Linked DNA regions of Canis lupus familiaris. The protein of the gene in region 2 purifies or fractionates together with the protein of the main gene of each other region. This does not show direct contact. Links are inferred from orthologs where the notes say so. Each region holds a gene or a part of one and is shown on either strand. Other genes may lie near its edges.

What was found. The genes of interacting proteins can lie anywhere in the genome.
Region 1: the proteins of HECTD1 (region 2) and up-regulator of cell proliferation purify together in Homo sapiens (affinity purification with mass spectrometry; 4 studies listed by BioGRID and IntAct, with this or other methods). This does not show direct contact. The link is inferred for Canis lupus familiaris from reciprocal best matches to the Homo sapiens genes HECTD1 and URGCP.

Annotation. Positions count from the first base shown.
Region 1 is NC_049237.1:14,516,348-14,520,070, reverse strand, and holds the start of up-regulator of cell proliferation, read right to left. Parts: upstream 2,944-3,723; 5' UTR 2,828-2,943; coding exon 2,814-2,827; intron 1,195-2,813; exon of another isoform or gene 1,067-1,194; intron 1-1,066. UniProt on the Homo sapiens protein: May be involved in cell cycle progression through the regulation of cyclin D1 expression. May participate in the development of hepatocellular carcinoma (HCC) by promoting hepatocellular growth and survival.
Region 2 is NC_049229.1:10,568,963-10,572,609, forward strand, and holds part of HECTD1 (E3 ubiquitin-protein ligase HECTD1), read right to left. Parts: intron 2,901-3,647; coding exon 2,064-2,900; intron 1,368-2,063; coding exon 1,146-1,367; intron 1-1,145. UniProt on the Homo sapiens protein: E3 ubiquitin-protein ligase which accepts ubiquitin from an E2 ubiquitin-conjugating enzyme in the form of a thioester and then directly transfers the ubiquitin to targeted substrates.

The DNA.
Region 1 (3,723 bases), on a different chromosome or scaffold from region 2:
AAAACAGAGCCAGTACATGGGCCAGATAGCAAATCTTGTTATATATAATCTACCACAATAAAAAGAAAATTGGGCTGAGGGGACAGAGCAAAGAACAAACATAACATGTAAACGCAAAGGACAATGTCAGGATGCTTGCCTAGTGAGTTGGGGGGGCACCCCAGTTGTATCTGGAAGGCCATCTCTCTGATAAGAATCACAGCCTAATTAAATATAGCCTAATTAAAAACACACCAAAATTGTAAAAGTGGTGAACTATGGAAATTCAGATTACATTTGATTTTCATTTTGTTTTAGGATTTTTGGTTTTTTGAATTATCTACCATTAACAATCTGAAAACTAGCGGGCACCTGGGTGGCTCAATTGGTTCAGCATCTGCCTTTGGCTCAGGGCGTGATCTCAGGGTCCCCGGATTGAGCCCCGTGTGGGGCTCCCAGCTCAGTGGGGAGTCTGCTTCTCCGTCTCCCTCTGTCCCTCACCCTTGCTTGCCCCCCCCCATATCTCACTCAGTAAATAAATAAATAAATAAATCTTTAAAAACAAAAACCTGAACCATATATTTATTTAGCCCAAGTAATCCAGGCTTGCTGCCCTCCAGGTGGGTGTAGACAGGTGGTCATAGTGCTGCTGGGGTAGAGCCCCTTAGAAACGGGCTGTGGACAGCGAGGCTAGAGACCTGGTCCCAGCAATGCACGCACTGATTTCAGGGAACACATGGACTCCAGACACCCACCAGTGAACCATGGACCCCAGGCTAAGAACCTGTGACTTAGACGACATCTAAGGCCCCAGGAAGGGATGCTGTCTGGCAGAGAACACGTGCTGGGATCAGCACAGATGGAGGACAGAGCCCAAGGGGTGCTGATGGCAAAGCCACCAGCTGTGAGTGCAGAGACAAGCCTTGACGCCCGCAGGAGGGAGTGGATGGAGGCAGGTCCCCAAGCTCCATCTGTCCTGCCCCCTCCACACTGCTGTCATGTGGACTGCCCCTCAGTGAGCCCACAGATGAGGCCAAGTCCCACAGCCTGACCCAGCAATCTTGTCTCTACATAGCCCCAAACTCACTGGGCTGTGGCTCATCCCAAATGTGTCTTTTCCTCTGTTGCCTTGCTTCTGGCCATTCCCTTCTGCATAATCCCCAGCACATCCATCAGGGCCTCCTCTTTCCTTCCCAGCTGTCTTATAGTGATTCGCTGAGGAAAGAACACCAGAGTCAGAGGCCCCTCCATACATTCCATAGCCCAGGAGGAATAAGAGGTCCCTTCCCACATTGGCCCTGAAGCTCTGGGCTTGTTCCCACGGTACAAGTCCAGCAGGCGGGGTCTCTGCTGGTCAGCTGACCAAGCCAGGCCAGAAAGTCCCCGGAAGTCAGGTCTTCCTGGGTGGACTCTCCCTACCAGTGAAACCTGTAGAATAGACACCTCGAGGTTAATCTGGAGGCGTGGACTGTTCCCAGTGCATATGCACCATACTAACGAGCCACAGTGCGTAGCTCTCTCTATGAAATCCAGCAAAGGATGCTGAAAGTTTCGGGGCCTTGGCTTTCCGAGGAGTATGCATCAGAACATTACAGATTAGCGCTCCCTGCAGACTCATAGGGTCACTCATGAGAGTATGGAATCAAATCTATGCTACTGCCTCCCCCACAGGGACACCACACCAGCCCACAGTTAAGTCCACCTCTGACCCAGGCCTACAAAGGGGTGCGTCTGGACACCAAATGTGCCATCAGGTTGGAAAGGCCTCACGGCAGCCCCACACAGGCCTGGACATCATGCTGCTGCTGGCAGGCCACCCCACCTCACTGTTATCTGACAAGAGGGGCAGGGACATGGTGGGACCTTGAACTCTGGTTCAATCCAACCGGCCTTCTGAGGGATGGGCCAGGTGTTTAGCCTATTATGAGCTCAAAGTACTAGCTACTGTGTCACCAAAGCTCCCCAAAGCAGGAAGGCCAGCAGGTAGCTGGAGAGTGCCCATGACTCGGCTGCCCTGCCAGCAAATCCAAGGCTCCCTGCAGGCCTCGGGCAGGGACAGTTCACCTGTCACCAGCCTGACAGTACCTCTACCCCCGAGGGACTGCTGTCACTGCCACTGGGCCTAAGACCCTCTGAATGTGGACAGTCGTCACCTTAAGAATTTCACCAACTAAACCAATGACCTTGAGACTAATTTTCCTCCTCTGTGAAGGTACTGGGTTGTCGTGTCCAGCTTTCACGACTAGTTAGACTATGGAGGCAGAAACTAATTGTAATTAATGGCTGAGGTTTTATTTCGTCAGGATTTTTTCAAAAATTACAGTTGGTGTGTGTCACCATGTTTCCGGAGAGAAAAAGCGTTTTAGCAGGGAGGCAAGGCCAGGCGGTGATGTCAGAACAGGGGCTGCCACCCCAGCAGGGCCCGCAAGGCCCGCCCGCGCCCCGGGACTCAGCCACGACCTTCGGGCCCCTCGGCTGCGCCCCGCGGGCCAGCCCAGCGCCCGCCCCCACCGAGCCAGTGGGAAGCAGCTGCGGGGGTGGGGGGGTGGGGGGGCACTCCCAGGCTCCGGGGCCATGCACGTCCTCCCCACCTCCCCGCCAACCCCGACCTGGGCCCCCACCGGGAGGCCCGCGGCCCCCCCCTCCCCTGCCCTGCCCTGCCCAGCTGCGCCCGCCCAAGGTCGGCAGGAGGGCCTGGGAGGGCCGCTGGCCCGGCAGGCGGGGGACGCGGAAGGCCGCGGAAGGCCGCGGGCGCTCGCACCTGCACCGGAGCCCCCTCCCCGCGGCCGCGGCCCCCTCTCCCCCTCTCCGGCGGGCCCGAGCGCCGCACTCACCCGGGCGACGCCATCAGCGCAGCGAGGTCTCGGCGCTGCCGCCGCCTCCGCTTCCTCCACCCGAGCGCCTCCGCCGGGGAGGGGCCTCACGCCGGCCACGGCCGCCCGCCCGGGCCGCTCTGGGCTGCGGGGGCGCGGGGAGGGGGCCCGCGGCGGTGGGGGGGGGGGCAGGGGCGCGGGGAGGGGGCCGCGCTCGGGACGGGGACGGGGCCGGCGGGGAGGGGGCCTGGGGCTTGGGAAGGGGGCCCGGGGGTGCTGGGGGGTGCCGTGCTCGGGGAAGGGGCCGGGGGCGCAGGGAAGGGGGCGGGGAGGGGGCCGGGGGCTCTGGGAGGGGGAGCTCTAGGAGGGACCCGGGGCGGCGGGACGGGAGGCAAGGGCCCTCTGGGAGGGGGCTCGGGGCAGCAGGGGGTGGGAGGTGGGGGGCGGGGGCCTCAGATAGCAGGGGGTCATGGGAGGGTCCTGCAGTCGCCCCCAAAGGCCGAAGTTGGTGGTGGGGGTAGGCAGCACAGACTTGGCACCCAGACCAACTGGGTGCAGCTTTGACCCGCCCACCGCCCACCTGCCCTGGTGCCAGCAGGCCAGGATTCCTGGAGGGGGAAAGACGGGGCCAAACCTGCCGAAAATCTGCCCCGGGGCCACGAAGCAACTGCCGGACCAGGTGAGGTGGACACCTCCCGACCACAGGATTGGATTTCCTCCGTAAAAGCCTTTTCCTTCACCCAGGAGAGCAAGGTGCTGTTACGACTATTAGCAAGCAGTAACCTATTAATTGCTGTGCTTTTTTTTTTAAAGATTTTATTTATTTATTCATGAGAGACACAGAGAGAGAGAGGGAGGCAGAGGCACAGGCAGAGGCACAGGCAGAGGAAGAAGCAGGCTCCATGCAGGGAGCCCGACGTGGGACTCGACC
Region 2 (3,647 bases):
TCAGGATTCCTGCCTGGAACCTACTTCTCCTCTGCATGTGTCTCTCTCTGCCTCTCTCTGTGTCTTCCATGAATGAATGAATGAATGAATGAATGAATGAATGAATGAATAAATAAAATAGAAAGAAAAGAAAAGAGAAAAGAAAAGAAAAAAAAGAAAAGAAAAGAGAAGAGAAAGGAGCTATCTGGAAAGATAACTCCTTTTTGGGGAAAGAAGAGGGGCCACACACAGAGTTTAATCACCAACGGCCAATAATTTAATCAACTGTGCTTAAGTCATGAAGCCTGTAGGGCTTCCAGGCTGGTAGGGTCCCCAAACTCCAAAAGGACAAACTCCTGTGCTTGGGACCTTCCAGACCTCACCCTACACATCTCTTCCATTTGGCTGTTTCCAAGTTATATCCTTTTTCTAAGTAAAGGCTAACTAAAATCTAGTAAATAAAATGTTTTCCTGAGTCCTGTGAGCAATTCTAGCAAATTAATCGAACAAGAAGAAAGGGTCATGGAAGCCACCAATTTATACCCAGTCTGTAACACAGATGACTTTCAATTAGCATCTGAAGGGGAGATAGTATCATAGAACTGAGGCCTTTACTTACGGGATGTAACTTTATCTCCAGGTAGTAATAGTGCCATAATTGAGTAACTAAGTTAAACTGTATGACACCCACCTTGTGTCTGAAAACTGCTCGGTGTGGGAAAAATTCACAAACATTTGCCAGTCAGTGGTGCCAGCAGTGAAGCATTCTGTGAATAGTGTTGAGAATATAGAGGAGATACGTGGGGAGTGTTTTTCCTCTTACATTATAGTATACAAAGAATATAACTTTACAAAGCTTATTAATCTCTTACACTTCTATTCTTCTCTGATAAAAGTGTCAAATATCTTTGTTATTAGGATTTTTCCAATAAAATGTCATTAGTGTGCACAGGGTAGAAAAGGAAGACACAAAAGTTCCTAGATGTCTGCTTATGATCAGATAATTTAATAGTCCCCCACACGCTGAGTTTTTTCTTCTTATATGAAGATGACGTATCTTTAATAGGAGATAATTATTTTCTAATTGACAGTTAAAAACCACATAGCAGGAAAACATGGTAAAGCATCACTTTACAAATACCTAAATATTTTAAACTATCACTTACCATACAAGGAATATTCAGCTTCCTGACCTGTGTCACTCTCACTGGAGGTGGATGTGAGGCTAGTAGTTAAAGTATTACTTAAGGACTGACCAACTGATAGGACTGTTGTTGCTGTGGCCACATTGCTGCTGCTAGTCACACTGGATGTTGACATTGTCACTGTTGATGTAGTACCAGGTGTAGTCAAATTGGGGAAACTCTGAGCACCCATAAGAGGAGAAGCTAAAGATAAAAATGAAGCAAATCAGGATGACTGATGGTGGGATCGTATAAACCTAAGAAAAACTAGGTTTTGTATTTAGAGTAAAAGAATGAGATTATCAAACACTAATTATTAAAAGGCTAAAAAGCAACAACTTTGGGAACCCAACTGAAATCCAACTAAGAATCCTTGTTTTTATAGCACTGTTATTTTTTCAAAAAATTAAGTCCTGCTTTTTTAAAAAGTGAAACAGGCAATGAACTAATTCCCAATGATATTTTCCAAAGGAATTACCCATTAGCTTAAGTGAGAATTAAATACCTTCCAGAAGCTAATATCAATTTAGGACCTAAGGAAAAGTTAAACCAGTGTGATGCTCTGATTTCAGTTGACTATGACATATTTAATAGTTATCTATTTCCTCATGCAGCTGAACTTAACAATTTATCATAGAAGAGTGGAAAATAGAAGTGTGTTACTGTTTTATCCTTTCCAATTAAGAGGTTCTTTATCATACCTGATTTGAATTCTTAAGAGATCATGATTCTATAGAACTTAATTTCATATTCCTGAAGTGCTAAATCTGACGTAGTTGTATGTAACATGGTTAATGATCTAGTTAAAGACTGCAGCCAGAACCCACTGAACAAGAAACCCTACTTTGCATCCCTCCGAGTGGAAAAACGATTGGGTTCCATAAGGAAAAGCTCACTTACTTGCTGTGCTCATCACATTCCTCCCCAAAGTATTAGTGTTGTTATCACTGCTGCTTCGGCTTAGATTCATGTTGTTCGTGGCATTAGTCCGTGCTATGTTTGCCACTCTCCTTACAAAACTCTCCAAGCTAGATGTTTCTCTTGAGGACAGATTAGGTACACTTGCACTAGAGCTCATAGGGGCCCCAGCAGCCAGCAAAGAACTCACTGACAGTCTGTTACTTGCTGAAGAGCTAAGGGGCCGTTGTGAAGCTGCTTCTTTATTAGTTAACTCAGACACTGAACTAACATCAGGAGAACTAACACTAACAATTCCCATGGATATTGCACTAGATTCCCCAGGAGTGCGAACAGAACTATCGGGGCCTAACTTTCTTTCAGCATTTTCACTTCCCGTTTCCGCTGTTAAGGTGCTGGTGCTTGCACTGGAAGATGACCCTACTTCTGTTTGAGGGACGTTTTCAGCAGATGAAAGAACAACAATTGGTTCATGGACATCAGCTCCTGAAACTATACTGTGTTCCATTACAATTTCTGATCTCCGTTCCGTTTTGGTCGAACCCAAGCTGATGTCGCTGCTACTGGCCACGCTACACACAGAACTGCTGCTTCCTTTTCTACTTGAGGAGCCTGCAGCAGCAGATGTCTTGTCGGGACAGTTGTTTTTCACCAAGCTGCTCCATGATTGCGTTGTGCCTGAAACAGTGGATGAAACAGGTTTGGGTGATGCCACTGTATCAGGGTCGTACCCTGGTGCAAGCTTGAGGTCAAATTTTCCTTCTGCGCCCATACGGTAAGAGTTTGAGCCACCAGCATCCCAGGTGACATCAATCCAGCCTGGAAAGGGACAGGAGTTTGTGAGACCCGGCAGAAAGCAGATAGGAGCGTGTCAGACAGTAGCTCCACAATATGGGATCAGCTTTTCATCAGTGCTGTACTTCTCTGAATTTCTATAGTCATTAAAGGTCTGCCAACTAAAATTAAATTCTTCCTTTTATTTCTCTTATTTCTGAACTGCTTGCTCTGCTGATATTTGAAAACAATGTAAGGGTCGGTCATGTTTACATCTATCGGGGTATCTTTTGAGGGGAAAAACTATAAAAAGATTGATACAAATGGTGGAATACTACTTCAATTTATCGATGAAATCTAAATAAAAGGTTTTTATAATTGCTAAATATGATTATGGGGTCAAATGCTCTTTTTAGAAAAAAGTTCTGATTTATCATTAATTTTTAAGTTTGGGCTAAATTCTAGTAATTGACAAAATATTCATGTATCACTGTACAAATTTTAGGTCACCAGCTCAAATAACACTAAGTTAGCATTTCGGTTGTGTTCTCAAAGTTCAGTGGTTACTTGGTTTTCTTATGATTAAGTTTACTATATTTGAATAAGCACAGAAAATTCTAAAAACAAAAATTTTAAAATACTAAGCTCTTTTATTAGAACCTATAAGCTAAAGCTAATAATGTGCAAAGAACTAATGAACATGATATTCAATGTATATTTACTTGTACTTGTAAAACAATGCTTGCTCTTTTTAAAAAACAATAATTACCTTCCAAAAGCAGTAAAACAAAT